Linked DNA regions of Struthio camelus. The protein of the gene in region 4 interacts with the protein of the main gene of each other region in a pairwise test. Links are inferred from orthologs where the notes say so. Each region holds a gene or a part of one and is shown on either strand. Other genes may lie near its edges. The genes, in order: NIF3L1, DUSP12, NDRG4 and RABAC1.

Evidence for each region.
Region 1: the proteins of RABAC1 (region 4) and NIF3L1 interact in binary tests that used the Homo sapiens proteins (3 or more experiments, as listed by UniProt). The two-hybrid records come from large-scale screens. The link is inferred for Struthio camelus from reciprocal best matches to the Homo sapiens genes RABAC1 and NIF3L1.
Region 2: the proteins of RABAC1 (region 4) and DUSP12 interact in binary tests that used the Homo sapiens proteins (3 or more experiments, as listed by UniProt). The two-hybrid records come from large-scale screens. The link is inferred for Struthio camelus from reciprocal best matches to the Homo sapiens genes RABAC1 and DUSP12.
Region 3: the proteins of RABAC1 (region 4) and NDRG4 interact in binary tests that used the Homo sapiens proteins (3 or more experiments, as listed by UniProt). The two-hybrid records come from large-scale screens. The link is inferred for Struthio camelus from reciprocal best matches to the Homo sapiens genes RABAC1 and NDRG4.

The regions. Positions count from the first base shown.
Region 1 is NC_090947.1:10,509,897-10,517,896, forward strand, and holds the start of NIF3L1 (NIF3-like protein 1), read right to left. Parts: upstream 3,005-8,000; coding exon 2,578-3,004; intron 1,940-2,577; coding exon 1,774-1,939; intron 1,347-1,773; coding exon 1,220-1,346; intron 846-1,219; coding exon 707-845; intron 1-706. Other genes in the region: PPIL3 (peptidyl-prolyl cis-trans isomerase-like 3), read left to right, coding at 4,086-4,088, 5,462-5,536, 7,100-7,193, 7,781-7,848. UniProt on the Homo sapiens protein: May function as a transcriptional corepressor through its interaction with COPS2, negatively regulating the expression of genes involved in neuronal differentiation.
Region 2 is NC_090942.1:92,202,890-92,210,217, forward strand, and holds the start of DUSP12 (dual specificity protein phosphatase 12), read left to right. Parts: upstream 1-4,312; 5' UTR 4,313-4,349; coding exon 4,350-4,636; intron 4,637-4,734; coding exon 4,735-4,848; intron 4,849-4,945; coding exon 4,946-5,064; intron 5,065-6,574; coding exon 6,575-6,671; intron 6,672-7,328. UniProt on the Homo sapiens protein: Dual specificity phosphatase; can dephosphorylate both phosphotyrosine and phosphoserine or phosphothreonine residues. Can dephosphorylate glucokinase (in vitro).
Region 3 is NC_090951.1:30,455,037-30,462,373, reverse strand, and holds the start of NDRG4 (protein NDRG4), read right to left. Parts: upstream 3,017-7,337; 5' UTR 2,951-3,016; coding exon 2,914-2,950; intron 1-2,913. UniProt on the Homo sapiens protein: Contributes to the maintenance of intracerebral BDNF levels within the normal range, which is necessary for the preservation of spatial learning and the resistance to neuronal cell death caused by ischemic stress.
Region 4 is NC_090980.1:287,045-294,471, reverse strand, and holds the start of RABAC1 (prenylated Rab acceptor protein 1), read right to left. Parts: upstream 3,011-7,427; 5' UTR 2,951-3,010; intron 2,176-2,950; 5' UTR 2,156-2,175; coding exon 2,079-2,155; intron 876-2,078; coding exon 678-875; intron 1-677. UniProt on the Homo sapiens protein: General Rab protein regulator required for vesicle formation from the Golgi complex. May control vesicle docking and fusion by mediating the action of Rab GTPases to the SNARE complexes.

The DNA.
Region 1 (8,000 bases), on a different chromosome or scaffold from region 4:
ACTGCAATCCCATAGAACACTGAGCAGCTTCAGAATAAAGGTTTTTGTTTTAATGTAATTGGTAGTATCAGAGGCTTCTAAGAAGATTTCTCTCTCCTGAGGACATTTTTATAAAAAGGTGTGAACAAATTTGCTCTCACAGATTCTAATAGCTGTGTTCCTTGGAGATTAGGATAGATAACTGCAGTAAGAGGACCTCTGCTCCAGGTTTTACTGCTGACCCACTGTTTGACCTAGGGTAGCTAACTTCTCTTCTCCTATTCCTCTTTCAATGAAACATGGATAGCTACAGGTTTGTAAGAATACTATAAAGCATCTTATTATTTTAAGGTGCTTTGCATCTTAACATTCAGTCACAAAAGGGAGTAAAGTGATAGGCATTTGTGTCTGAAATCTTGGGGAAAAAAGTCTTAGTCATATTAGGCAAATTATGAAAAAAGATGTCTCACGTTCAGCTTGTGCTGCCCTTCCTCCGCAGTGACAACCAGCATAATGCAGAACTTGTAGCCAGAAGTACAGATAACATTTTTGTGTGTGACGGTATCACATAAATTCTAAAAAGCTGTCTCTTTAATCGTGCTTCATACTACTGGGAAGCAAACCTGTTCAAAGCAGCAGTATTTCACACACCCACACACGCATTCACTCTCTTCATATTCCTGGAACACTAGTTTTAATGTCCAGTCAAACTTGCAAGCTTATTTACCTAGTGTCTTCCCCATTCCCACAGCTAGGCGGATGTGGGTTAATTTTAGGTGCCTTTTAATACGCTCGATTATGGCTAACAAGGAGACTGGCTCACTCAATGTGCACAGACGTCCCATTCCAGTATGTGGAAGAAGAGGCTGAAGAGAAGAGAAATTAAAATTACTCTGAGAAAGCTGACTCCAGAAGCTCACGTTGCTTTTCATAACTATAGAAAGGTGAGCATATTGGGTATTAAGAATGAAGTCATCTGAACTTTGCAAAAGAAACATATACATGATGTTCTAGAATGTAAAGAAGTAACTTCGCTAGCTATTGGAATCGTTTTAAGAATTAGTACAGGTCACGCAGATATTTTCACTGTTTTGAAAAATGTGTGTGGTTTCAAATCCCCACAGGCCAGTATTTCAGAGCACTGACAGGTAGCATGGGAAAACTGTGATGACTATTAGATTTCAGTCTTTACGGCAGTCAGCTCACGCAAGTAACACATTCACTGCATTTTTTTTTTTACCTTTTCTAATAACAAAATCTCAGTCTTGTGATAAAGAAGGCTGTTCTTGGACAATAATGCCACCACCTCCAGCAGTGCTTTCTGAGAGCAGTTTAAACTGACTCGTGTTTGTTCTTCACCTTCAACCCTGAGGAAAGATATATTTTGGGCTTGCTAGGAAAACAGATAAAATTTCAGCATCGTGTTAACAGAATATAAAGCCATTCTATCACAGAGAAAGGGAAAAAGGAGACAAGGTAATAGTCTAGCCTACTCTTATGGAAAAAACAAATATGGAAATTTAACTCAACTGTCCTCATTGAATTTCCTGTTACAACTCTTCCTTACCATCTCTAGTCCATGTGATGCTACACTGAGTTGCTAGTTACCATTTAGTATAACCTCACATGGACTGATCAGAAAAGAATAATTATCCTGTGAACTTCTAGATCTTTTCTGAAAGAATAGCAGCAAGACACAGAGGAAGAAAATGACTACAATGGTAAAATACAGTTCTGGCAATGTATTCTTTCAAGCAACAGAAAGAAGACAACATTAGAGAGTGAAGCAGATACCTGGCGGGGAGAGTAGTGACAGAGGAGATCTCTGGGATGCCTTTGATTTTGGACAGCAGTGTCTCTAGATGCTCACCGTTGTCTACGCAGAATTCTACCCGGTGGGTGCCCTCCGCTGGATAGCTTGGAGCAGCCGATGGATGCAGTGGGACGGACGTACAGGCTCCTGAGAAAACAGCACACAAGGTTTGCTTCGCTGTAAAGTTGGATTAGTATCCTTATGCTGATTTAACAGAGGGAGAAGTGACAAATGGAAAATGCTTAGTGACTTATCCAAAAGGGATGCAACTTTGAGCAAATTTTGCATCTGAATCCATTTTCCATGACCAGAACTAGGGCCTCTTGCCCTGTTGTCTTCATTGGGCACAGTCTATTCTAAGTGCAGATACCTTGATGGATATATATTATTTGTACCTTCTTGAAGCCATTCAAGTTCTCCCCTAAAAAATGCACATAAAATTTTAAGTTTCTGGTTTGGAAATCAGGCTGGAAAAAACATAGCTGTTTTCATTTATGAGCTACAACACAGAATAAAAATCTAAAGGATTTCAGCTATCTAAAGTGCTGTGGGAACTACTAGACTTTGCACTTTATAAATCAGTGTCAGTGATTTAAAGTCAGCAGTTTAAACTCTTCAATCAAGGTATGCAATAAACATGCTGCACCAGCTCTAACTACATCCAGTAGCGCAAGCATGCATCTGAAAATGTCCACAGGTATTTGTACCTGGTACATCTCACCAAGATAAATTCTCTAAAATAAGCTTAGCGTACTTAGAAGTACTGGAAAAATATTTAACCTCACCAAGTCCCTTTGTTAGCCAGTTATTGACTCCATGAGGTATGGCGTCGTACGCGGTGTGCGGGGAGTAAATCCCGATTCTGTGCTCCAGAGCGCGGACCACCAGCCGCTCCTTCCAGGTCTTCCACGTTACTCGCTTGAGTGGCGTGAATATGGGAGGGTGGTAAGAAAGGATGAGATCTGCCTTCTTCTGCACTGCCTCCTCCATCACCCCCTCCGTGAGGTCGTTAGTTAGGAAAAGGGTGTTGACAGCGTGGGGAGGGCTCGGTTCCACCAGCAGCCCCACGTTGTCCCAGCTTTCGGCTAGAGAGAGGGAAGCGAAGTCGTTGAGGGCGGACACGAGCTCCCCGAGATTCATGGCGGAGCGGGAAGGCCAGCGGCCCAGGGGCCTGATGCCACGGCAAAGGAGCCGCCTGCAAGGCGGCAGCATGCGGCGACCTGCGGAGGGGCGGGGAAAAGGCAAAGGGAAGAAGACTGGGTAATTCCTCAGCTGAAACAGCAGCCTCTGAGCATGCGGGCTGACCGCCGCTGCGGAGGGCCCTTCCGGCGAAACCTCGGAAACTACCTAGCAGAGTACTGCGAAACGGTACCGAAAGTGTTACAGCCTCATCGGTTTCCACGCGCGAAAAACGAGCCGCGGCCACCGCCGCGAGGAGCGCCTGCCTCTCGCGCTGGGCGACGGCACCAAGGCAGCGGGGAGCAGCGGCCGCCGCGCTACCGCCATCTCCGGGCGGGCCGCGACCGTTAACGCCCCCCCACACCCCCCGACCGTTAACGCCCCCGTCCCGCGCGGTCGCCGCGCCTGCGCTGAGCGGGGCGGTCTCTCCCCGGCGGCGGCGAGGGCGGCGGCGTGGGCTCGGGGTTTTGGAGAAAGCGGCCCTGGGCAGCGCTAGGTTTGTACGAGGCCCCCATGTGGCCAGGCGAAAGTGAGCCCTGGCTCGGCCACGCTAGCGGCCGCTGGGCTCCCTCGCGGTGACTTTATCGTCACAATTCGAAACGTCTTATTTAAAAATGTGAATAGCTTAAAAAATGTTTGCTCCTGTGCTTGGATGCAGGTACCTGTTCGTCGCAGGCGCTGACAGCCACCAGAAGGTGGCTCCAGATTAAACTTCTGTGCAGGTACTGGCATGCGTTTGGTTTTTTTTTAATCTGTTAACCTTTGTGATGCATATAAGCCTAATCCCTGAAAAAGTTGTGATTGTTTAGTATCAGCTCTTACGAAAGGCTATTTTTTGTCCCTGCTCTTTCTCTGAACTGTTTTTTTCTACTCTTTTCTAGTTCTTTATGTGCTGGTTAGTTACATAATGTAAGTAAAATGTTGAGCCACACAGCGTGACTTGAGTGACCCTGTAAAAGTGTACTGTGGAAAAGCTGATCATTTCAGTAACCACACAAATATTTTAGAATCAGAAAGAACTGGGGACTGGTGGGAAAAAACCCAACAAATTGCATATGTTTTCTTTGCAGGAACTTGCTATATACAAATTACCTCAGCTTTTTGATGAGCAGACATGGTGAGATCAGTATCACTTTTTATATTCTTTCTGATTTTCTTAAATCGTGATACTTTGAAAAGTGCATAGCTGCTCTGCGTGCCAAGTGATTATGCGTTTTACTTTGACGTTGTGAAGAATTTGTGATGAAAAGCTCTGCTTTCCATTTCAGACTTTACACAAAATACTGTGAAAAGGAGAATATGTCAGTGTTATTGTTCCGTCAATCTAAATATACAATTAGACTTCTAAGACATTACGATTTAATCCTAATTTGACTAATATTTGGTCATCTAGTTTGATTTCTTCTACTACAGAAGCACTGTTCAAGTTGCAAGCACAAAGCTCTGCTTGAATATACGTAAGCTTCTACAATTGTAGGCTTTTGAAAATGTATCTGTCGAGAAATAAAGATAAGACTATATCTTAAACTGGTTGTACAACTTTTATAGTATCTTCATGGACATTGCAAGCAACTATCTTTTCTTCTTTACTTGTATACCAAGTTTTTAAATGTATTTGCATTATCTGTGTTATATATTACTTGCTATGCATATGATATGTGATATTATTTAACATATGAATATAAAAACACCCACACGTGTGTGTGTGTGTATGTGTGTGTGTATATATATATATATATATGTATGTATGTATGTAACAGTATGCCGGCATCAACACGATGCTGATTCTTATTAGTCTTTTTGTGCATATATCCCCAGTATATCCCCACAGTAAATCATCTTTGCATAGTTTAGCACTTTCTTTGGGAGTACTGTGAGGTTTTGGGGCCCATAGAAAGACATCTGCATTGATGGCTGGGTCACTGGCCTCTTAAAATTTAATAAGGCTATTTATAAACTCTGAAGAGAAGTGCATAATTTTGCGGACATACTCGTTTGTGAGGGCAGATTATTTACGGTGCCATTCAGAACTATCCTGATATCACTCAAAAGGCTGCAGTCTAGTGATGCACAGCACTTGTTCCTCTGGCTGTAAACCAGTGAGGTACGTGCAGCACGCTTTCATCTCACGAAACAGAAATAAACTCAGTTCTTCAACTTGTGCAAACGTGTGACTGAGTAGGTTCAGTTTACCTGTGACTTTATGCAGATAAATAACATATCTTTGGAGAGTAGCAGCATGCATCTGAGCTCCATTACCGTGGAGAACGTGATTTGTCCTGAAACTACTGAATCCAGTGCTCTCTGATGGTTTCACTGGAAACGTAGATGGTCTGTGACGGTAGCCTTGCTTAGGACCAGGTATTGAAACAATGATTATATGCAGTGGGAAGTTGCTTGCACTCTTGGTAGGACCGGGAAATAAAAGAGAGTGTACAGCTGTTTGTATTTCATTGGTGGTTTAATTATTATTTTCTGCCTCTTGTTCAGGCTGTCACGCTGCACACTGACGTAGGAGATATTAAAATAGAATTATTCTGTGAGCGAACACCGAAAACTTGCGAAGTAAGTCACGTAACAGGAGCGGGATTGTGTAGTATTGAAAGAAAGCAGTAGAAGTAGTGAAGATCATAGAGAAGGTGAAATGAGTGTTCCAATTCATTGTTTTATATAATGGAATATTGACATTCTAAGCTGGTGCAGTGCCTGGTTCAGCTTGTGGAACTTGTTGTGTACTGTGTTGTACTGTCTAGAGCTTTGCTGTCTGTTTCTTTCCAGCTGAGGTTTAGCTAAGGGCCACTTCTCTCCGAGTTATAGCATCTCCCAAAGTGTCCTTTGCCCTTAAGGGGAAACGTGGGACTTTGCCTGGGATTCCCAAACTTCCCTGGGTTTGCCCATACTCATATAAAACTTTACTTTTTAAAAAGAAGTGAGAAGCGCTCACAGTTTGTCAGAGACCCCAGTTTTCCTTTGTGCAATAAACTTAAGCTTAAATTGAAAGTAATTTTTAACTAACTGTGCTCAGGCTTGGCTATGGATTGCAAAGTTACGGTACAGTTTAAAAAAAAAATAAAAATATTGAATGCAAGGGATGCCTCTGAGCATGTCTCAAGAATCCCTGTGTTTGTTCCTTAACTCAGAGGACCTTGTGCTGTAAGCTTTGTTTAAAATCCTTTGCATCTGTGACTGTGTCAAAGGAACTGTGTCTTAACCATGATTTGAGAATGACTATCGTGTGCGAAGAGAGGATTCTCAGAGTACTGATTCTTTAACCTGTCCTTAGCCAGGACAGTAGGAAACTTGAGTCTGTGGGAAACCAAGAAAACAGGAGCTCTAAACACAAACTGCGATGTCTTGAAACTGCATATTGTAAAAGACTTTTCTCATGGTGTTATTTACAGCCATGTCTGTTTTGGTTGTAAATGCCACACATGATGTTTTAATGGTAGTTTTAAGGGTTATGACCTCAAAGTAGCTTTTAAATGAACTTTTTGCTTTATTTTGTAATTCTGTAGTTTTAATGTTTGCTTAAGCCAGGAATAAGTACTGTTCTAGTTGAAAATTTTTAAATTTTAAAATCTTAGGATCTTCCTGGTTTCAGCTGCAACACTTTCATCTTACGTTCTGGGCAGCCCACATTTACATTTCAGTGAAATAGTGTATCTTGAAGGACTTTTTCCTTGCGAAACGGTGAACAATTCTTGTCCGTATGCAAATAGTGGTTCCTCAGCTATCTGAGGTATGAGGTCCTTTAAAAAAGATACATGTTCCTGCACTGAGCTGAAGGAGAATATTTATGAAGCCCCCATCAGATGCATTTTCTCTGTGATGCTCTACGTAGGCAGCATCTGTGTTGCTTTGTTGATTTTAATGTAACGTATAGACCATACTTACTGGATTCGGTACTGTTTTGTAACTGTGGCAAGCCCTGAAAAGGGAAGGGAAAGACCTGAGGGTTATTTGTATCTTTTAATAGCCACCAATAGTCTGTGGCAGTTGACTAATGCCGTGACATGCTCACAGTGCAAAGCAGAGTCAGAAGAGCTAGTCTTGTCGGTGCTGTGGTTTTGGCTACAGAGGATATTATTTCTGACTTGTTTGCTAACGTGCTGTGTTTCATTTCCTTAGAATTTCCTGGCGCTTTGTGCTAGTAACTACTACAATGGCTGCGTATTTCACCGGAATATAAAGGGCTTCATGGTTCAGACAGGGGATCCATTAGGTAAATCCTTCTGTCGGAGATGGGATGCAACATAAGAATTACTGTATTGTTGATAGAAGGTTTAATGATGTAGCTAGTTTTCTTTGCTGAGTTTACAGAAGAGCAGCCATTGCCCTACCTCCAGACAATCAAGCAGTGGTAAAGCGTTGTACAGACTTTAATTTTTCCAGCCGTCTTCACTGAATAGGATGGTTCTGCTGACTCACCAGCGCTTGCACAGGCAGTAGTTGTTATTCTGGTTTCTGCCTAAAAGGCTACGCTGCCTCTAAAAATTCTCTCTAGCGTTTTGGGAAATGGAATAGACAGTGTCAACTATTTAGGAGAAAGTCAGATTCGCCTGTGTGTCTATTTGCACTCGTATTGAATTGAATTTGAGGATATCTGTTTTTTGTTCTGCTACTTAATAGTCATTGTTTATATTATTGAGTTGGTGCTCTGCTCAGTATCGAGACATGAGAACCTGAGCCCTGCCTCAAGCAGTTTATAGTGTTTCTAGTGTGTTTGTTGTAATGTGTTCGAATGATGCATCATTTCTGAATTTTTTCAGTCTGAGAATCCAATAATCTATTGTAGTACTTCTTTATCAGGCACTGGGAAAGGAGGTAACAGCATCTGGGGCAGGAAGTTTGAAGATGAATTCAGTGAATATCTGAAGGTATTTCTGTGCTGTCAATATGCAGCTATGTTTTCACATACATTTTCGTTACAGGCTGGAGAATGATCAATGTTGTGTTGCGCTAGATTAAATACCCGTTTTGTAATTGTGAAATAAAGCGTAAGCGCACAGCGAAGCGATGTTATTAAGTC
Region 2 (7,328 bases), on a different chromosome or scaffold from region 4:
TCCATTACAAACTAGAGCTGTAGAGATTTCTGCTGCCCCAGCCCTCCCTTGCGAAGCATGCTGAGATGGAATGCACTTAGTGGAGCGAGGGGGCAGCCGTCTGTCATCTGACTTGTTTTCCCTTGCACCTGAGCTTGCCCGAACCACTTAATTAGTCACACAGTTTCCTGGAACCCAGGGGAGAACAAACCGTTAGAAATTTCAGCGACGCAGGAGAAGACAAAGGCTGAAGGGGGAAGGTGGAGGTTGGGGAGAACTAGGGTTTGCAAATCAAACTGAGAAAACATATATTCTATTTTGGGACTTGTGAGCAAACTCAGGATTCGTAACCATATGCTCAAGCTGCAGGTGGCAAACACAGTAAAGGGGAGTACAGAAAAACAGCGAAGTTGCTTAGGGAGTACAGCCTCAGTCATGTGAAGCACTTATATGGCGAGCTGCCCACGGGCTCTGCCCCACGGATTTTGTACTTTCCCCACCACATATTTTCACTTTGAAATAGCAGCTTTTTCACATTCTGTCATCATCCAAGTCTCTGGGAGCCGATGCACAGGAGGAGCATAGTGGTCTCACTACAACTGCATCAACCCCGTCAAGAAGCAGCCAGCAATCTCTTCAGCATCTTTGAGCCCTGGCGTTTGCTTCTCCCTGTCACTGTTTTCATTTACAGACGGTGCTGTTTCCCTCCCCAATAAATTCACGGATTTTAAAGCTCACAGAGAATGATTAACCATCTCTTAGTACTCATATTCTCCCTGTATAATATACGCTCTCCATGTAACTCATGATTCCTTCAATAATTTGTATTTGTCTGCAGACTTGATTCAAATCCCTCATGAGATGAATAAACCATTGTTTCCCCAAGACAGGTTACTGCAATTATTACAATTACAGGTCAATACACAATTTGAGCTGGTTTTAATTTCCACCTATTTTTCTTTTCAGCGTGCTTTTATTTTATCCCTGTATCCCTGCTAGATTGTAGGGGCTTTTATTGCTTGATATTTTCTCTCTGTGAAGATACTTACATATAGTAAACAAAGCACTGTTCATTCTTCTTTTTGACAAACTAAGTGGTTTGAATCCTTCAAGGCCTGTTAGTTAGGTCCTTTATTTCTAGGTGGTGGCAACGGTAACTGGAAAAGGAGGATTTGCACAGATGACGCAGTTATGTAGCTTAAGACAATGGAAATTAAAGCTGTCAGAGACTCCCCTAACCCTGTTCCCAGACACACAGTCACACCCTTTCCTTCTGTCAGGTTCATGACATGAGGCAGTGAGGCAGTTCAGGGAGCTGACCCAGCTGAAAACTAATCCAGCCAAAAAAAGGGATTTGCTGTCAGCTAGATCAGCTCCCTAACAGGGCCACCATACAATCACACAAGCGCTAGTGCAGTGAAGCACACGAGATGAAGCAGGGCGACAGCAAACTTCAAGCTGTTTTGGACTCACATACTCAGAAGCCTCGCGGCCTATCTAAACTAAAGATCCTTCCCGGTCTGCTCCATGGGTAACCGCTGCCTAGCTCCCAGCACAAGGCTTGCAATGGATGCATGCTCCCTGCTGGCACTGGTGAAGGAGTCCTGGAAGAGCAGATAGGTAGCACCCACTGCAGGCTCTCTGCTTGGCTTGTCCCTTCTGTGGAGTGGTGGCTGCGCCCAGGTGCTCTAGCCCCTTTCACCTCTCCTGCTGGAAGGGGTAACAGTCTCCCTTCCCACCAGGTTTTAGTCTCCCCCTATCAGGTCAGTGGTGACAGCAAGTCTCACCTCCTCCATGGCCAGCTGGCCTCCCACAAGGAGGCCCTTTCAGACTGTTTTTACAACAGTTCTGCCTATAGCTGTGTCACGCAGACCTCTGCTAGAACAATCCTCCCAGAGGTAGATAACCAGGGCTTTCAGGCCTCCTTATCTCATGCAGGGAAGGCAGGGTAAGGTTACTTGTTGTCCCACCTTGCGGACAACACACCTCTTTCAAATGACATCTGACGTTTTACCTGTGCTCAGAAACTTGCAAGGCAGTATATGGGCCCTTCTGACTATGCCGGGTAAAACTTGCAACAACATGATAGAGATCATACTAGACCAAAAGAACCTTGATGAGAAAGTGTTGGGTTGGGTCTTTTGAGACAAGAAGGAGATGTTAAGGCAGTGGGTGTGTTGCACAGTAATGTTTTGCACATACATCCTGCTAAGAGCTAGAGGGGAATATCCTTGTCTACAGGAGAAAGAGTACACACTCTGTCTCCACCACAGGACAGGTCTGAACTTTATGGTGGGCAGTGGAAGCGGCTGCACCACGATTTCTGCATTACCCTATAATCTTCAATGGTGTCACACGCCTCAGAATCAAAGGTTACCAGAAGACAGGTTGCCTCTATCTGTACTGTATCTGATTTCAGTACCGAATGCAAATCATAGCCTGGTTAACAGTAAGAGATTAGCACAGAAATCTGGAGTTAGTTACAATTCCTGTTTTGCAACTCAGCATCTACCTGTTGCATGGGAGCTAGTACAAAACAGAAGAGCGTGACAGTTTTCAAGCTGGGCCATACATTTGACTTCCAGCAGCAAGAGCTTATCTGGATGCTGCAGACAAGGCCAGTAAGGAATTACTGGGGCTGGATTCCGTTTCAGAGTACAGCCAGAAGCATAGCCAGTCCCTAACGCGAATGACCAAAACGTTCATCGGAATGTAAAGTCTATGACATTAAAGAATGGGAGGCCTCAATCTAGAAGGAGTTAAAGCTAACTGCTGTTAGCTTTATTCTGCATGTTAGCTTTCCCTCCACCTATGTGGATGTGGTCATGTAACAGACCTTAGAAGCGAGCTGATTTCATTTCCCAGCAGATTTTCTGGGTGGTTGATTTCCTGCAGAAAAACTTAGCTCAGATAAAGAGCTCTCCTACAGACCAGTCAGGTATCCACACAGTAAACGATGGATCCTGAAAGCCCTACTGTTTTGTATTAATCTCTAGGCCAGCAATTCACAAACGGCAATCTGGAAACGGGCGTTGGTTCTCCAGGCTTTCCAGACGAAAGCTCCTCTCAGCCTCCATTCGTTACCACGCTTTGGGCAGAAACCTTAATAAAAGGTTTGGACATGCGGTGCTTTCCTGCAGTGACCGCGCTCACCTCCTGTCCCCTGGCATACTCCGATCCACAGCGGAGGCCGCCCTCGGGCAGACTCCAGGCCTGCCTTCCCGCAAGGGCAGCCCAGTGCCTCCACCTCAGGGAGTTACTGGACCGGTTGCTAGAAAAACACGCATTAGTCTCTCCAGGAGGATTTTCTCACTTTTATAGGTAGCTCATCTCCAAAGCGAAAGACTGCCAGCGCAAAATACACAATACACACTATACCTGGACCTCAAAAATACACGACTGATTTAAAAGTAAGGGATTTTAAGAATAACAAATTGGGAGATTTATTAAGAGTATTTCTTCATTTGTTTTCTGAGTATGTGAAAGATCGCAACGCATCAGACTTTCATGATCTTTCTGACTAGGAGAGCTAGAAACATTTGTGAGTCTCATTATGCCATTGGAGAAGTCGCCGGCACCAGCCTATGCGGCCAGTTGACTGCTTCTCTCTCTCTAGCCTCTTTATTTGTCTTGCTAAACGCATGTAAAAAAGTTTACTGTTTCCCCATCCCCTTCCAAGCAAAAATCTCCTTGGACAGAAGGGGTAAAACACTATCTGTGGGGAACCTTTGCTGGCCTCTACGTATGTCCCTCGCGCCGAGCATTCACTGAAGAGAACAAAAAGAAACGCCAAGGTTTTTCCACAAGCCAAAGCAACACAGGGCACAGGGCGCTGCTCCAGCACTTACACACCTGTGAATTTTATCATGTAAATTATTATGAAAATGATGGCAAGAGGGAAGAAAAAAGTTCTGTTTTGTTTTTAATTTCCTGAAGAAGGACCCCTTGCTCAGCTCGCTGCGTTCACCCCGCGGCCCCCTCGCCTCCCGCCACGGCGCCGAGCGCCGCCCGCGGCCTCTCGCCCCGCCGCGGCTCCCGCCTGGCCCCTGCCGGCGACACCCGCCCCGCTGCCTCCCAGCACCGCCATGTTGAGAGCGGCGGCACCCGCTCCGCCGCCATGTTGAGAGCGGCGGCACCCGCTCCGCCGCCATGTTGAGAGCGGCGGCACCCGCTCCGCCGCCATGTTGAGAGCGGCGGCACCCGCTCCGCCGCCATGTTGAGAGCGGCGGCACCCGCTCCGCCGCCATGTTGAGAGCGGCGGCACCCGCTCCGCGGCCCCGCCCCGCCGCCATGTTGGGGGCGGCGGCACCGGCCCCCGCCGCCATGTTGGGAGCGGCGGCGTCCTCCTCCGTCGCCGCGGTCCCGCCATCATGGCGGCGGCAGCGGGCGAGGGGCTGGGCGGCGGGATGGTGCCCGTGCTGCCGGGGCTGTACGTGGGCGGCGCCGAGTCGTGCTCGTCGCCGGAGGCGCTGTCGGCGGCGGGGGTGGTGGCGGTGCTGACGGTGGGCGCGGAGGAGGCGGCGCTGCCGCCGGGGGTGCGGGCCCTGCACGTGCGGGCGCGGGACGAGCCCGGCGCCGACCTGCTGAGCCGCCTCGACGACTGCGCCGCCTTCATCGGCGCCGCCCGGGCCGCCGGCGGCGCCGCCCTCGTGCGCTGGTGAGAGGCGGCGGGTGGGGGTGGCCGCCCGCTCCGGTCCGGTCCGGTCCGGTTCGCTCCGGCGCGGCCGCCGCCCACAGCCCCGCTTTGCCTTACAGCCAGGCCGGGGTGAGCCGCAGCGCCGCCGTGGTGACCGCCTACCTCATGAAGAGCGAGGGGCTGCGCTGGGAGGAGGCGTACGCCGCCGTCAAGGCCGCCAAGCCCGACGTCGAGTGGGTGCCCGGGCCCCGTCCGCGGGGCGGGGAGCGGCCGCGGGGCCTCTGCCCCCTGCCCGGCCCTCACCTGCCCTCTGCTCTCCCCTGGCCGCAGGGTGAACCCGGGCTTCGAGTGGCAGCTGAAGCTCTACGAGGCCATGGGCTGTGCCGTGGACGTGAGCAGCGCCCTTTACAAGCGGTACCGCCTGCAGATGGTCACGGAGAGGTACCCCGGTGAGTACCTCCGCCTCCCGCCCGTGCCCAGGGAGCAGCCGAGGCTGAGCCGAGCTGGGTTTGGGGAGCAGCCCGCCAGCGAGCCGCGTCTCGTCACTGAAGTTAGGCTTCGGTGAACACCTGAAACTGGATACAGACTTCTGGGGGTCTCCCAGGGATGGGTGGTGCCAGGTGGATCACGCACGGAGGGGCTTTGGTCGGTCTGATGGGCTGTGGGTCACACGGCTCTGTGCACTGATAGGCAGCATCCGGCACCTGCTGGCATCTTCCTGATGTGCAGTCAGTTCAGATTATCTTGGGAACCGTGTGCTGTGTTCAGGGGTTGTCGCTACTAACCCGTGTACTGCTCCTCGTTCTGCTGCAGAACGTGGATATTTTTAACTGGTTGTACCTCAGGAAGACCTCCGGTGTCCAGTGTGCTGCATGAGGGCTGCGTGTGATCACGATGATGGGCCGTGTTTCACTGATTTAAAAAAAAAAAAAAAAAAGATTTGTTTCTGAACCTACTTGCTGTCCTTTCGAACAGGTTGCAAACTGGTGAATATTTTCCCATAGCTGGAGTTCCCAGCACGTGCCCTTAAATTCTGTGTCCTTAAATGAGCACAGAAGCGCATGGCAGAGGAATGCCTCTTTACAGAGCTCAATGATGGTTTGTTGACTGAGTACTTCTCTCAAAGTAGCTGAGCCTTGAGTTGGCTAGATTAACATTCATGCCATGTTGACTCTAAAGAATCCTAGCTAGTCATCGGGGGAAAAAAGTCATTGAGACATGTCTGAGAAATAAGATCTGTAATGAACTGTTCTCTGCATCAAAATGCAGAAACAGCGAAAGTCAACTTTATGTATTTCTCGATTTTTATGTGCCTTTCAGGCAAACTGAAAGTCCTCTAAAAAGAAGTCAAGGAAATCAAATAAAAAGATAAAAGCAGAGCTAAAATAACATAAAGTTGAAATCAAGGTATGAAGTGAACTTTCGTAGTCTGATATGCAACAGATTGACTTCAGTGGATATATATATATGAGTGTGTATGTGTAGTTCTGTTATAAAAACTTTCCGTAAAGTTAATCTCAGTGGAATGTCTCTCTTGCACTGTTATGTACCGAGTATAATAGAACTCTCTCTCTTATTCTTAGCAGGTTCCATTCATAAGAGTTGGTTTTATTTCTTGTATGCGCTAAAAGATTGGAAGAACTGTTCTGACTACCTCCCATGTCTTTGCTCCGTGTTTAAATAAGAACATAGAGGAAAATTCAACTCTTTTACCATTGTCAAGGCCAAATTCTCGATTCCAGTTCCTTACATTAAGTGAATCCTGATCTTAGATATAGTGAGATGAGACTCTCTTTTTTAGAATTCAACTAATGGCATTGGTAAATGAACAAATGAAACGGAAAGAAGGTAGTCTTTACATAGTCTGACTAGGGCAAAAGCACAGCCCTGTCTTGTTTCACTGAAGTGGATCATGGGTTAATTGGTTTGATTCACAGCTTCATACTGTCCCCTCTGCAGAACTTCAAGACTTGCCCCGAGAAGTTTTTGCTGTTGATCCAACCAGTATGTGTCAAACTCCAAACATGGAGGTTCTCTACAGATGCAGAAAATGCAGGTACTTTTATATTCCCCAAACCTTTTATATTCCCCATTAAAAGTCATTTTGAGTAAAGTCTTGAGAGAAAAATAATAGTACATGTGACTCAATGGATATGTCATTATTTTCAAGACAGGGATAAGATCTTGTGTAAGTTTCCGTACAGTGTGTGACACAGAAATCAGACAAACAAAAGTGTTTTATGAAACGCAAAGCCTTCTGTTCCTTGAAGTTGTGCAGTACTTGTGGAGCCTCAATTGCTAGATTCTATAATCAGGCATAATTCTGCCTGGTGCTGTGAAGTCGCTTGCTCTTAAACCATAACTTCTAGTTTCGTTTTGAAAATGGGCTTCTCTCAAGGAAACTTGTTGTAGATGTTCAGTACTACATTTTAACTGTCTTTTATGAATTATGTAAAATGACGTTGAAAAATCCTGTTGTTCCCTAAGTGTAGATTTTTTTCACATATATGAGCTTAGATTTCAAGTTTTAATAGGTGGGACTTGTCTAAAAATAGATCTGTAAAAGAAACAACATACCGCTGTGGGACAGAGCCCAAAGCTACATGAATGACTGGATTTGTTTGTTAAGAAGCAGCCCTAAATGGAGTCAGTGCCTGTTGACCTTTTAGACTAAGTTTAAAAAAAAAGTAGGCTGTGTAATCCTATGTATTTA
Region 3 (7,337 bases), on a different chromosome or scaffold from region 4:
GTTTCCCAGCCAAAAAGACTTAAAATGGAGACTGGGGGAGAAGTAAATAGCACTGGGCCCTCCCATCGGCCCCCAATGCAAAAGATAGGGTCTGTGGCTAAGGTGGCAGCTGCTGCCACCCCATTAGTGGCCCTGGGCAATGCTGGTGGGTTCAGAGAGCTTGTAACGGAGCCTGGAGAGGAAAGGGCAACCCAGACACACTGCGAGTGGGAGGGAGGCAGTGAGATCCCGCAGACAGGGCACAGCCAGCCTGGGTGCTGGTTGGGGACCCCTCTCTTGGGTGCCTGGAGCGGGTGGTGGGTGCCCTGGCAGGCCTGAGCCCACTTCTCGAAATGCAGCAGGGGGAGCATGGAAGCACTCCGAAGGGGGAGCCTCATGCACGCGTAGCACTGTGAGATGCAGCATCTGCCACCAAGAGGTTTGGGACATTGAGAGGTCCTGGCTGTGTGGCTTGGGCATCTCTGCAGCCTGGCACCGTGACACACCAGGTGCACCCTAATGCAACCATGGGGCACGAGCGATCCTGTCCCATGCCGAGGCAACATAGCTGGGAAAGCATCCTTTCCCCCCACAGCTTGACCTCTGAGAGCAGGCAGCACCCACTGTCTGGGTATGCTCTCACCCCCCACAGACTCGCATCTGCCCCTGCTCTGCCTTCCCAACGCTGTGCCACCATTTCCTGGGCAGAGTAGGAACCACCTCCTCCAAAATCCCAAATCAATCCCAAATAGAGCACGGCACCAGCCACCTTCCATGCTAAGAGGACGTCAAAGCAAGAAACTCTCTGCACCCTCGTAGGCCATTGCAAGCAACAATTTAAGCCTGCAGCTGCATCCCAGGCTCTCACAGTATGTTAGCTTGAGCCCTTGCAAACATCCAGCCCTGTGCCTGCATCCTGCAAGGATAGGCTCTAACTGGGTGCCAGAAAAGGAAGAAAAACTTCCTTCCAAAGGGGAAAGGAAACGGCTCCCAGCGGGAGGGGGAGAAGGGCCGAGCAGAGACATAGGAGCTGCACGCAGGACCCCACTGTGCCCAGCGACACACAGACCCCCAGACAGGGCCACTGCAGCTGTCCCTGCGGGCTGTGCTGTGGCATCAGCCCACCGGTGCTCTGCCCTGACATGGTCCTGGCATCGCACACGCAGATGTGAGTGGAAATGGCCACGCTGGCTCCCCCTCCCCAGGGAGCTGCAGCCGAGCGGTGCCTACTGGAGTAGAAGCGGCTTACGGCAGGGAAATGCATTACTGTTATTAACATTATTATTAATAACAGCACACACAGCCAGCTGCGAAAGCACGTGTGGGGAAGTCAGCTGTGGCACTTCAGGGCGCCCAGCTCTGCTGGCCTCAACTCCCACGGCTGCCTCTCACTTACCAGGGCTGCGACTATCAGCAACAGCCCCGTGCAAGCGGCACAGGGAGGAAAGGACCTCGGCGAGCATCGGTGAGAGCTCAGGGCATTTTACAACTGCGATGAGATGCCAGGGAGCCCAAGGGTTGCGCTGGCAGAGACGTGAGACCCCACTAGGCTGGGAGATGAGGCCATGTCGATGCAGGGGGGGAAGCCAAAGGCGATGCTGGGCCTGGCGCTTTCGGGGCTCTGTGTGAAGATGCCGGCTGTCTCGGCAGTGGCTGTTGCTACGAGCAACCTCCTCCCCAGCCCTGCTCCTCAGGGCACCAGGAAGGAAACAACACAGCAGCTAGACACCCCAGGGAGGCTCGCGAACAGCAGCAGATGCTGCCTGGCCCCACGCGGGCCGGAGGCTGCACCGAAGGGATGCTCAGCGGCCCCATGCACACCCAGCACCCTCCCCCAACATGCCATGCTGGCTGCCCAGCAGAAAGACCCCAGCCCGCGGGACCCCCGGCACCAGGAGGCTGGTGACACAGTCCCAGCCTGGTCCCTGCCATTGGCAGCCACCAAGCCGGGCTTCCCCAGCTGCAGCCCTCCTCCTCGCCAGCCTTCCCCCAAAACATCCTCCCTCCAAACAGCCTTCTCATGGTGGGGAGAGGCAGGTGGGGGTCCCTGCAGTCCCAGCTCGCTGGCAGGGATCAAAGGACTCTTTGCACCCCGGGCATCGCGACCCCCCCCATCTTGCTTACGCCAGAGTTAATCTCTCCCCAGCCCACGAGGCTCCTCCTCAGCTTGGGGGCAAAGCCCAGCACCCCGCAGCCCTGGGCACCCAGCTCCTGGAGCACCTGACCACCGTGTCGTGCCGTCCGCCGGAGCAGGCCACTGCATGTCCATCTGGCACAGCGGGTGCGCACGGCCCCCGAGACAGCGCTCCAGAGCCCCCCAGGACAGCGAGGGGGAGGAGGAGACGGTGTAAGTTACCTGCGTCACTCAGGGCACATCTGCGGCCTCCCGGAGGGACGGCCGCTGGCCCCCGTGACCCCCGTGGCCCCCGACATCATGCAGGCCCCCGAGGCGAGCGGCGGCAGGGGGACCCGCTCACAGCAGGTGCTGTTCAGGGATGGAAAAGCTGCCAGCCGTGATTCAGGGAGGGGACCGCAGCAGACACCCCATGCACGGCCCAGCTCTGGAGGGGAGGAGAGAGGGGAAAAGTGGCGGCAGCAAAGCGGAGCCACAGGGCTACCCCAAGAACGGCACGAACCGAAGCAAGAGCGTGACCCCCAACACAGCTCAAAGTGAAGCCATAGCACAGCCCCAAAGCCTGCAAAGTCCAGCAAGAGCTCAGCCCCCCCAAACTGCAAAGTGAAGCAATAGCGTGACACCCCCCCCCCCCCCCCCCCATAGCACAGAGCGAAGCAGCCGCTCACCCCCGAGCCTGCGGAGCCGCAGCGGAGCCGCGGCCGCGCCCCGAGGTCCTGCCGGGCTTAAACCCCCGCTGCGGCCGAGCGGCAGGTGGAAGCGGGGCGCAACGCCCGGGCCAAACCGGGGCCGCGCCGTACCTGTCAGCAGCTCTATCTTGTGCCGCAGCACCTTCATGCCGGGGCGGCGGGTCCCGAGGCCGCCGGCGGGCGGGGGGGCGCGGCGGGCCCCGGCGCGGGAGAGCGAGCGGAGCCGGAGCCGGAGCCGGAGCCGGAGCCGGAGCGAGGCGCGCGGGGCGGCGCAGGGGCGAGGCTGGGCACGGTCCCCGCGCCGGGCCGGTTCCTCCCCTCACCGGGCCCGGAGGGAGGGGACGGCGCCGGGAACGGGGCCGGGCCGGGGGGCTCCGGGGGGACAACGGTCCGCGCCGCGCCACGCCCGCCTGGGCCGGGGGGAGCGATTTACCGGAGGATGCCGTGCTGCCGGGGGGAGCACATCGCCCCGCGAGGCACCGGGGGGCTGTGCAACCGGCGGCCCCAGGAGCAAGGGGTCTGGGGCCCCTGAGAGCAAGGATAGCGATGGCCAAGGTGCCTGGAGGTCCCTGGGAGCATAGGACAGTGTTGGTCAATGCACCTGGGGGGGGAGGGGACAAGGGGAACTTGTGCAGCTGGCGCCCCTGGAGCAGGGCCCTGATGCCCAAGGGGCCGAGGGGGGGTCTCATGGAGGGGGACAGTGATGCCTGAGAGGTCTAGGGGGAGACAGGAGTGGAATCTGTGGCTGGGACAGCAGTGGCCCCATACACATGGATGCTGGAAGTCAAGGCGGTGGCAGCTCTTTGGGGTGGAGCAAGAGGTTGCGAGGTAGCTATTTGGGTCAGGCAAAGCCAGGGGCTTGGAACAGTGCCGTGGGCCTGGAGAGCATTGGAAAGGGCCCACAGTGGCAAAGATGCAGGACTCCCTCCTTCTGCACAGGGCACGAAGGCCGTTGCTGCTCCACTCTGCTTGTGCTGGCTGGGCTGTGATCCTGCCCCATTGGGGCCACAAGCTCTGTGGGGCAGCTGGTACATGGAGGTTCACCCACCACCCTTTCCAAGGTGCTCAGCTTTCTAGAAGAGCCAGGGGCTCCCACAATGGCAGGGTATAAAGCAGAGCTGTGTCCTGAATCAGGAGAGCGGGTCCAGCAAAGATGGATGCCCCAACCTGCCCAGAGTGCTCATCCCTGTCATCCTCAGCCGTGAGGAATTGAGCTGGACCAAGCCAGCCAAGCCAAACCTGCCTATTTTCCCTCCTATGTAGCTATTTGGTGAGATTTTAATGTGCTTTTCCACAATTAAGAACATAAGAGCCCCAGGTTACTTGAGCTAACTGTACAGGACATCTCATTCAAAACCCCAAATTGGCCCTCTCTAAAACACTCCCCCCCCCGCAATCACTGAGGATCCTTAAACCTCCCCTCAGTGGTCTCAGTTCCCTATCAAACCCAGCCCCACGCTGGGCTCACATGGGAGGACTCAGGGGTCCTGCTGCAGATTGTTCCATGGGCTTCGGACCATGGACTGACCTGGTGTCCAGGGTAGCACTCGCTCCTATCCCCTATTATACATTTTCCCCAGGAATTTCCAGGTAAAACATTTCATGTCTCCATTACAAATAAGGTGTGCATGAGCCAGGGAATGACCTTGATTTATCCTGGATTTGAGTGCTATTTACTTGTCAGCACAGGAAAGTCAAAGTTTCCTGTAGGATGAGTGAGGTTCAGGTTCTCGTGCACCAGAAGAGGTCCATGTGAGATGTTGCAGGAGGATCATGATTTTGGTGCTGGGACCTTGGAGAGAACCTCTGCCCCAGAGGTCCTGGGGGACTGGCAGGCAGCAGGACCAGGCTGATGCTGGAGAGGGATTTCTTGGTGGTCCCTGTTACTATCAACTAAGGGCCTCTGGAGCAGTGCTAGCATCTTCAGAGGGTCAATGCAGGGGATCATTTCTAGCTTTGTTAGCACCACCTTCAATTGGAGATCTCAGTTTGCCCTCAACCCTAAAGTCCCAGGATGCGGCAGATGCCCAAGGACTGCTTTGGCAACTATATCAAGTCCGGTGTCCTAGACATCAGCCTCATCTCCTCATGGCTGGCCACAGCAGCCAGTGCATCTATTTACTTCATGACACCTTTCAGTTATAGGCATGTCTCCTGGCTGCAGGCAGTGAACAGCTCATCCCACAAGCTCCTGCTAAGGGGCTGGGAAGATACACGCTGCTGATACGGGCACTAATTTCCATTCCTGGTACATCTGTTTTAACAGCTTGTCCTTGGCTTTTTGGACGGCAATCAGTTTTGAGCTGATTTCAGCCTCTCCCATTGAGTCACCCATAGCTCAGCATCCCGGGCTGCATTCACCTTCTCACCTATGAGGCAGAAAAAAACTGGGAGGGAACACAAGGACCATTTAACCCCTCAGCTAGGAGCCAGCCAAGTGCATTGCTCTTGTGGAGGTCAGATCTTCCCTACCTTCAGAGCTGTGTTTCACCCCGTCTCCAAGTCCAACAGCCAAGGGGTTCCTCTGAACCAGTCAGGGTCAGCTTTGGCTTGTCCTCACCCAGTGCAAATCTAAACGTACTCCTCCGATTGCCATGGCTTTGTACCAGAATAGATGGTTTTCATACTGAGGATTTATCCTGTCTGCATCAAGTCCAACATTATCCAATAACAGCTTTTAGATGGCTACCTTGTCAAAGGAGCCAACCATGTGGCCGAAATAATTGCACAATTAATTAGGCCTGGGAAGAGCACAAGCTCTCCACGCATTAAGCTGGAGACAGTGGAGCATAAACCCATGTGAGAGTTCAGAAACCACCTGCTGATGCAGAGCAGCTTGCACCCTGAACTGTGTGTTTAAAGGGAAGCGAGTTTTACAGCATGGATTTTTCCACATTGTTTCGCATTGTGCTTTTAATACAGGTCAACGTGGCATTTTCTACATGCATGGCTTTGCACTGTGCTTTTAGCTCAGCCATGCGACACTAAACTAATTGGACAAAGGTCTCGCTCCAGAGACAGCCTAAGGGAGGTCACAGTCCTGAATGAGGGCTCCCCAGACCTGGCAGGGGGTTAGAAGATGCCACTTGTAGACCTGTGACACTCGCCAACATTCACACCCTCATTGCCAGACACTGCCTTGGCACCCACGCTTCCCAGGGTGTTGGTGGTCTGGCAGGGCCCCAAGGAGCCCTTTGCCTGGAGCTGTTGCTGCCAGCCCAAATGCTGAAGTTGGGCTGCAGCTGTTTGAGCAGTATCCTGCAAGCTCCCTGCAGAGTCCAAGCAGCCCAGGGACACCTTGGACTTGCAGCAAGTGGGCTGCAGCGTGCCGGGCATCTGCCTTGGCCGCAGCGGGATGGGAAGCAGGGAGGTGGGAGAAGGTGCCAGATGCTACGAGGTGAGTCAAGCCTCAGTCATAAGACCGACCACGCTCCTTCTACTCATCAGCGTAGGAAAGGTGGCAAGAAACACGGTGTCACTTGCTAGATCCGAGCCTCTGCCCTGCCTCTCCAGGCTGGCAGGTTAGAGCGGAGGGTGCAGCCAGCAGGCAAAGGCAGGGCCATTAACTCTCTCATGCCTGGGTGAGCCTCCATCCTCCTCCCACAGTGAGCAGAGGGGGCCGAGCCAGATGGCATGCAGCAGGAGATGCTATTTTAAGCCCCCCAGTTGTGATCTGGACCCCTCTGCCCTGGCTGCCTGGTGTCTTTTCCAAGGACACACCCTGGCCGACATCATTTCGCAGCCCCCTCCTTCCCCAATGCATCGGTTTACTACACCACAGACAGAGCAGAGTAATTTTCCATGGCCCCGCCAATGCCAGCGAAGGCGCAGGGAGCATGGAAAGGGCTCTCTTCATTGCAAAAGCAGCAGCTCCCGTCTGTCCCATGGCCTGAGTGGCTCTGAGTCATGGCTCTGTAGCAGGCACTTGCTGCCGTGTCCAGAATGGTGCAGACAGCGCTGATCCGAGTGCACGGGCCTGGGTCAGACTTGGAGTGAGCTGCTCTGACCCTGATGTGGGGCTGACAGGGGCTACAGTTTTCCCCTGAAGCCCAGGGGTTTAGTGCAGGAGTGGGGGTGGGGGTTTGTACCATCTACCTGTATCCTTAGACTGCATATTACTGCAAGCCAAAAACATCCACGGGGCTGCCTAAGGATTTCACCGCACTCAGCACAGCCCGGGCTCTTGCAGGATTTGTCAGTAGGGAAACTGAGGCATGGAGCGCCTGGGCCCAGGAACGGGCTGCCAGGCTCAAAGCCGCCTTCGCAGATCTCCTTACAGCTGCTCTGCTTTCGGTTTGGCATAGCAGAGTTTGCAGCAGGCAGATTCTGCCAGAGCCACCGGAAATGAAGCAAAACCCCAGCAACTGCTCAAATATCTCCTGGCACTGCTGCTCCCAGAAGGGCCCAGCTTCTTCCCCAAGAGTCACCATGCTCAAATAAACCTGATTTGAGAGCAATGGGCTGCCTTTCTAGCTGAGATCCTTAGCACCTGAGCTGCCTAAGCCCCTATCAATGGGTGCCTGGAGCAGAGAGGC
Region 4 (7,427 bases):
CCCCCATATCCTGTCCCCCCTGCCCCACAACTGCCCCCAATACCCTCAGCACTGACCCCTCATCCTGCCCCAAAGCAGCCCCACAGTCCCTTGTTCCGAACCCCCCAATCCTGCCCCATAGCAGCCTCCAGCCTTAACTCCCCATCCTGCCCCACAGCAGCCCCACAATCCCACCCCATGACCCTATATCCTGCCCCACAGCAGCCCCACAATCCCACCCCCATGAACCCCCCCATCCTGCCCCACAATCCCACCCCATGACCCCCCCCATCCTGCCCCACAATCCCACCCCATGACCCCCGCTGTCCTGCCCCACAATCCCACCCATGACCCCTGCTGTCCTGCCCCACAATCCCATCCCATGACCCCTGCTGTCCTGCCCCACAATCCCACCCCATGACCCCCCCATCCTGCCCCACAATCCCACCCATGACCCCTGCTGTCCTGCCCCACAATCCCACCCATGACCCCTGCTGTCCTGCCCCACAATCCCACCCCATGACCCCCTGTCCTGCCCCACAGTCTCACCCCATGACCCCCGCTGTCCTGCCCCACAATCCCACCCCATGACCCCCCCATCCTGCCCCACAATCCCACCCATGACCCCCGCGTCCTGCCCCACAATCCCACCCCATGACCCCCCCGTCCTGCCCCACAGCAGCCCGCCCCGGGCTCACAGGCAGTAGAGGATGAGGCCGAGGAAGACGCAGAGGTAGTTGCTCTGGAAGCGCTCGCCGTTGTGGGCCAGGCGCTGGCAGAGCTCCCCGAAGGTGCGCGGGGCCCCGAAGCGCCGCTGGTCCAGGAAGGCGCCCCACGGCCGCAGCCCCGCGCGCCGCCCCTCCAGCCACCGCCGGGCCGCCGCCGGCAGCGCCAGCCTGCGGCCGGGACGCCGCGCTGCCCCACGGCCCCTGCCCCACGGGGGCACCCCCCCTGCCCCACGGCACCCTCCGCCCCACGGGGGCACCCCCCGCCCCACGGCATCCTCCGCCCCACGGGGCCACGGCCCACGGCACCCCCTGCCCCACAGCACCCTCCGCCCCACGGGGGCACAGCCCACGGCACCCCCTGCCCCACGGGGCCACGGCCCACGGCACCCCCTGCCCCATGGCACCCTCCGCCCCATGGGGGCACCCCCCGCCCCACGGCACCCTCCGCCCCACGGGGGCACCCCCCGACCCACGGCATCCTCCGCCCCACGGGGCCACGGCCCACGGCACCCCCTGCCCCACAGCACCCTCCGCCCCACGGGGGCACAGCCCACGGCACCCCCTGCCCCACGGGGCCACGGCCCACGGCACCCCCTGCCCCACGGCACCCTCCGCCCCACGGGGGCACAGCCCACGGCACCCCCTGCCCCATGGCACCCTCTGCCCCATGGCACCCCCTGCCCCACGGCACCCTCCGCCCCACGGGGGCACAGCCCACGACACCCCCTGCCCCAGAGGGCCACGGCCCACGGCACCCCCTGCCCCACGGCACCCTCCGCCCCACGGCACCCTCCACCCCACGGGCCACGGGCCACGGCACCCCCTGCCCCACGGCACCCTCCGCCCCATGGGGCCACGGCGCACCGTACCCCCTGCCCCACAGCACCCTCCACCCCACGGGCCACGGGCCACGGCACCCCCTGCCCCACGGCACCCTCCGCCCCATGGGGCCACGGCCCACGGCACCCCCTGCCCCATGGCACCCTCCACCCCATGGGGGCACAGCCCACGGCACCCCCTGCCCCACGGCACCCTCTGCCCCATGGCACCCCCTGCCCCACGGCACCCTCCGCCCCACGGGGGCACAGCCCACGGCACCCCCTGCCCCACGGGGCCACGGCCCACGGCACCCCCTGCCCCACGGCACCCTCCGCCCCACGGGGGCACAGCCCATGGCACCCCCTGCCCCACGGCACCCTCTGCCCCACGGCACCCCCTGCCCCACGGCACCCTCCGCCCCATGGGGCCACGGCCCACCGTACCCCCTGCCCCACGGCACCCACAGCCCCATGGCGGCCACAGCCCCACCGAGGCCCTGACCCATGGCACCCTGTGCCCCCCAGCACCGCCCCCCCCCACCCCAATGCTCACTTGGTGCCCAGCCCGGCCAGGGGGTCACCCTCCGTCGTGGGGTTGAAGAGATGCTCCTGGGGGGGGCTCCCCGCCATGGTGCTGGCGGGGGGGGGGGCTGGAAGAAATGGGGGGTTATGGGGGGGTGGCAGCCCCCCCATGTCGGGGGGTGGATGTCCCATTGCAGACATGAGGGGGCTAATTTGGGGCAGGGGCTTGGGGGGGGGCTCAGGCCTTGTCTCTATGGGGCTGCAGGGCTGTTTTGGGGGGGGGGCACTCAGGCCTTGTCTCTATGGGGCTGTTTGGGGGGGGCGCTCAGGCCTTGTCTCTATGGGGCTGCAGAGCTGTTTGGGGGGGGGGGGGCTCAGGCCTTGTCTCTATGGGGCTGCAGGGCTGTTTGGGGGGGGGGCTCAGGCCTTGACTCTATGGGGCTGTTGGGGGGGGGCGCTCAGGCCTTGTCTCTATGGGGTTGCAGGGCTGTTTGGGGGGGGGGGCTCAGGCCTTGACTCTATGGGGCTGTTTGGGGGGGGGCGCTCAGGCCTTGTCTCTATGGGGCTGCAGGGCTGTTTGGGGGGGGGGGCTCAGGCCTTGACTCTATGGGGCTGTTTGGGGGGGGGCGCTCAGGCCTTGTCTCTATGGGGCTGCAGGGCTGTTTGGGGGGGGGGGCTCAGGCCTTGACTCTATGGGGCTGTTTGGGGGGGGGGGCTCAGGCCTTGTCTCTATGGGGCTGCAGGGAGGTTTTGGCGGGGGGGTTGCGGGTTATGGGGCCTGCGGCCGGATCACTGGGGGGGCGGGAACCGGGACAGACCCCCCCCCCCCACCGGGGCTCCCCCGTTGCCATGGCGCCCCCCTCAGTGCTCGCCGTCGCCATGGCGACCCGCCCCCGCCCTCACCTGCTCGCGGCGCGGGGCGGAAGCGCGGTGCCGCGTGGCAGCGCGGGGGGGCGCCGCGGCGCGGGCGGACGTCGTGGGGGGGGGGGACGCAAGGGATGCCGGGAGAGCGGCGCCCCGCGCGGGGCACTCTGGGAGATGTAGTTTATTCCCCCTCCTCCCAGTTGCGGGGGGGGGCACGGTGCAAGGCGGGGGTGTTTGGGGGATGGGGGTGTTTTAGGGGAGGGAGGTGTGGCCTCCCCATCCCCCCGCGATCCAGGCAGTTGTGGAGGGTCCCCAGAGACCATGGGGGACCCCCCCAGGATAACTGGATGCCCCAGAGCCACCAGGATCCCTCCCAGGACCTCCCCATAGACACCCCCAGGATCATTGAGGACCCCGGGAACCCCCCCCCATGGATCCCACAGGACACTTGGGGACCCCAGGGACACCTCAAGGTTACCCCCCCATACCATGAGGGACCCCAAGGAGTCTCCAGAGCCACCAAGACCCCTTGGGACCCTCCCCCAGAGGCCCCTCGAGCACCACTGGGGACCTCAGGGACCCTCTAGGGCCACCCCAGGGTTCCTGCAGGTCCCTTGAGGACTCAAGGACACCCCAGAATCATCGGGGACCCCCCCAGGAACTCCCAGGGCCATTGGGGACCCATCAGGGACACCCCAGAGACCCCTGGGACCACTGAGGACCTCGTGGACCTCCAGGTGCCTGCCAGGATCACTGAGGACCCCAGGACCTCCCCTGAGGCACCAGGGACCCTCTAACCCCCATGGAGACCCCCCCCCGGGGCTACTGAGGACCTCAAGGACACCCTAGACCCACCAGGGACCCCCCCCAGGGACTCTCCAGGACCATGGAGGACCCCAGGGACTGCTCAAAGCCACCCTCAGGACCACAAGTGACCCCTGGGACACCCCAGAGGCATGGGGGACACCCCAGAGAAACCCCAGGACCATAGGAGACCTCAAGGATACCCTCAAGAGACATTGGGGATCCCCTCAAGAGATCTTTCCACAGGATCTTTGGGTCCCCAGGAGCACCCCAGAGCCACTGAGGACCTCCAGCGACAAGTCTGTCCTCCCACGGTGCCTGTTTGTCCATCTGTCCTCCCCCAGCACCTGATGGACTGTCTGTCCATCCGTGGGACCCTGGGCACAGCCCGGCCCCACCTTCTGCCCAGCTATCCCTGGTTGTCTGTCCATGCATGTCCATCCTCCCCTCCCTCCATCCACCCCTCTATCCGCTCGTCCATCCATCCGGCTGCCCCTCCACCCCTCCCTCTACCCCTCCATCCCTCCGTCTCTCCATCCACTCCTGCATCCATCCATCCCTCTGTCTCTCCATCCATCCACCCTTCCCTCTTCCTCCTTCAACCCCTCCATCCCTCCTTCCATCTCTCCATCCATCCCTCCACCTCTCCATCTCTCCACCCGCCTACACCTCTCTCTCTCCTGTCTCTCCACTCATCCTTCCCTCCATCCCTCCAAGACTCCCTCCCTCTCTCCAGACCCCCCATCCCTTCTGAGCCCCCCAGGTCTCTCCTCCCTCATCCAGCCCCCCCAGTCTTGCCACCCAGTTCCTCCCCCCCAAATTCCCCCCGGCTGCCCCCCACTCTGAGTCCCTCAGCCCTCTTGGTCCTGCCCCCCCAGCTCTGCCCCCCTGCTCTGCCCTGATGGCCCCCAGGTCCCCCTGCTCCTGCCCCCCCAAGTCACCCCACTTCTGCCCCCCAACTCTGCCCTGGTGCCCCTTGGGTCCCCCTGCTCCTGCCCCCCAGCTCTGCCTTGAGACCCCCCCATGTCCCCCCACTCCTGTCCCCCAGCTCTGCCCCAGTGCCCCTTGGGTCCCCCTGCTCCTGCCCCCCAGCTCTGCCTTGAGACCCCCCTATCCCCCGCTCCTGCCCCCCATGTCCCCCCACTTCTGCCCCCCAGCTCTGCCCCGATGCCCCCTGCTCCTGTCCCTCGGATCCCTCCGCTCTGCCTCGAGACCCCCCCCATATCCCCCTGCTCCTGCTCCCCCCAAGTCACCCCCCTCCTGCCCCCCAGCTCTGCCTTGAGACCCCCCCATGTCCCCCCACTCCTGCCCCCCAGCTCTGCCCCAGTGCCCCTTGGGTCTCCCTGCTCCTGCCCCCCAGCTCTGCCTTGAGACCCCCCTATCCCCCGCTCCTGCCCCCCATGTCCCCCCACTTCTGCCCCCCAGCTCTGCCCCGATGCCCCCTGCTCCTGTCCCTCGGATCCCTCCGCTCTTCCTCGAGACCCCCCCCATATCCCCCTGCTCCTGCTCCCCCCAAGTCACCCCCTCCTGCCCCCCCAGCTCTGCCCTGGTGCCCCCCAGATCCCCCCGCTCCTGCCCCCTAGCTCTGCCCCGGTGCCCCCCCCCGTCCATCCTCCCCCCCGGCGGCAGCGGGCGGAAACGGCCCCTGAGTGGCGGCGGCGGCGGCGGCGGGGAGGGGGGCGCGGGGGCGGCGGGGGGGGCGCGGGGGCGGCGGCGACAGCCCCTCTCCATCTTCCCATTAGCGCTAATGGGCAGGTCCCGCTCCCCGCCGCCCCCCCGTTAATCACCGCCGCCTGATGAAGATTTATCGGCTGCCGCCCGCAGCGCCGGGGCTGCGCCGGGCTATGGGGCGGGGGGGACAATGGGGGGCACTGGGGGCCATGGGGCAGGGGAGGCGCGGGGAGGGGGTCTGTGGGGGGCATTAGGGTCTATGGGGCATGGGAAGCATGAGGCAGGGGGCTATGAGACACATTGGGGGCTATGGGGTGGGGAGGCGTGGGGGGCATTGGGGGCTGTGGGGGGCATTAAGGGCTATGGGGCATGGGAAGCATGAGGCAGGGGGGCTGTGGGGGGCATTGGGAGCTATGGGGTGGGGAGGCATGGGGGAATTACGGGCTATGGGGGGCATTAGGAGCTATGGGGCAGGGCAGGCATGCAGCAGGGTTATGGGGGTGGAGGGGTGGAGGTTATGGGGTAGAGACAGCTATGGGGGGCAGAGGGGGACATGAGGGGAAGGGGCTATGGGCCTAGGGGAGCATGGGGCAGAGAGGGCTGGGGGGCAGGGAGGGCTATGGGGCAGAGGGGTTGAAAGCTATGGGGCGGGGGGGCATAGGGCAGGGGAGGATTTCAGGGCAATGGGGCAGAGAGGGCCATGGGGCAGAGTGGATGGGAGCTGTGGGGCATGGGGGACAGAGACAAGGCTGGGGGCTACGGGGCAGGGGGGGCATTGGGGGCAGAGGAGGGATATGGGGCCTATAGAGCAGAAGGGGATGGGGGGCTATAGGGCAGAGAGCAGGCTGCATTGGGGCAGACAGGGGGGCAGAGTGGGGGTGCTCGGGGTTTGGGAACATTTGGGGGTATTTGTGACCGGGGGTGGGGGGGTTGCAGTGACCTCACTTATGGGGCGTGCCCCCCTCCCCGGCGTCGGAGGGAGAACCTAGGCGTCCGGGGGGGGGGGGGGGGCCTGCTTCGCCCCACAGGCCCCACCGCCCGCGTGGGCCCAGGCGTCCGGCCGCCCCGCTGCAGTGCGCCCCGCTCCCACACGAGGGCAGCTCTGTCCCGAGCAGGGCCCGGCTCCGAGCTCGGGGCCACCCGCGGCCGTCAGTAGGGACACGGGGCAACGGGGCAGCCCCAGCCCGCCCGCCCGAAACCAACCTCAACCCAGAGCCAGGAGCACCCCAAGGCCCCCCCCCCCATAACCAGCCCTGACCCTGAGCCAGATGCACCTCTAAAGCCCCCCAAGAGCACCCTAAGGACCCCTAGGAGCACCCCAAGCCCCCCCATACCCAGCTCTGAGCCAGAAGCACCCCAAAGCCCCCTCAGCATCACCTCAAGGCCCCCCAGGAGCACCTCAAAGCCCCCCAGGAGCACCCCAGGGACCCCCAGGAGCATTCCAAGCATCCCCCCATACCTATCTCTGAGCCAGAAGCACCTCAAAGCCCCCCAGGAGCACCCCAGGGACCCTCAGGAGCATCCCAAGCATCCTCCCATACCTATCTCTGAGCCAGAAGCACCTCAAAGCCCCCCAGGAGCACCCTAAAGACCCCCAGGAGCACCCCAAGCACCCCCCCCATACCCAGCTCTGAGCCAGAAGCACCCCAAAGCCCCCCCAGCATTACCCCAAAGCCCCCCAGGAGCACCCCAGGGACCCTCAGGAGCACCCCAAGCACACCCCCATACCCAGCTCTGAGCCAGAAGCACCCCGAAGCCCCCCCAGAATCACCTCAAGGCTCCCCAAAGAGCATCCCAAAGCCCCCCAGGAGCACCCTAAAGCCCCCCCCAGCATCCCAGGACCCCCAGGAGCACTCCAAGGCCCCCCCTGCCCCGGCCCCGAGCCAGGCGCCCCCCGGGCCGCGGTGTCCCCCCCCGCCCTCCCCGAGGGTGTCCCCAGCCCCCCCGCGGCCCCCCCTGATTGATTCCTGTTTACGGCGCGGCGCGCACCGGGGTGGCTCCGCGGGGACGCGCCATCCATCACCCCGCGCCGCCATGCAAA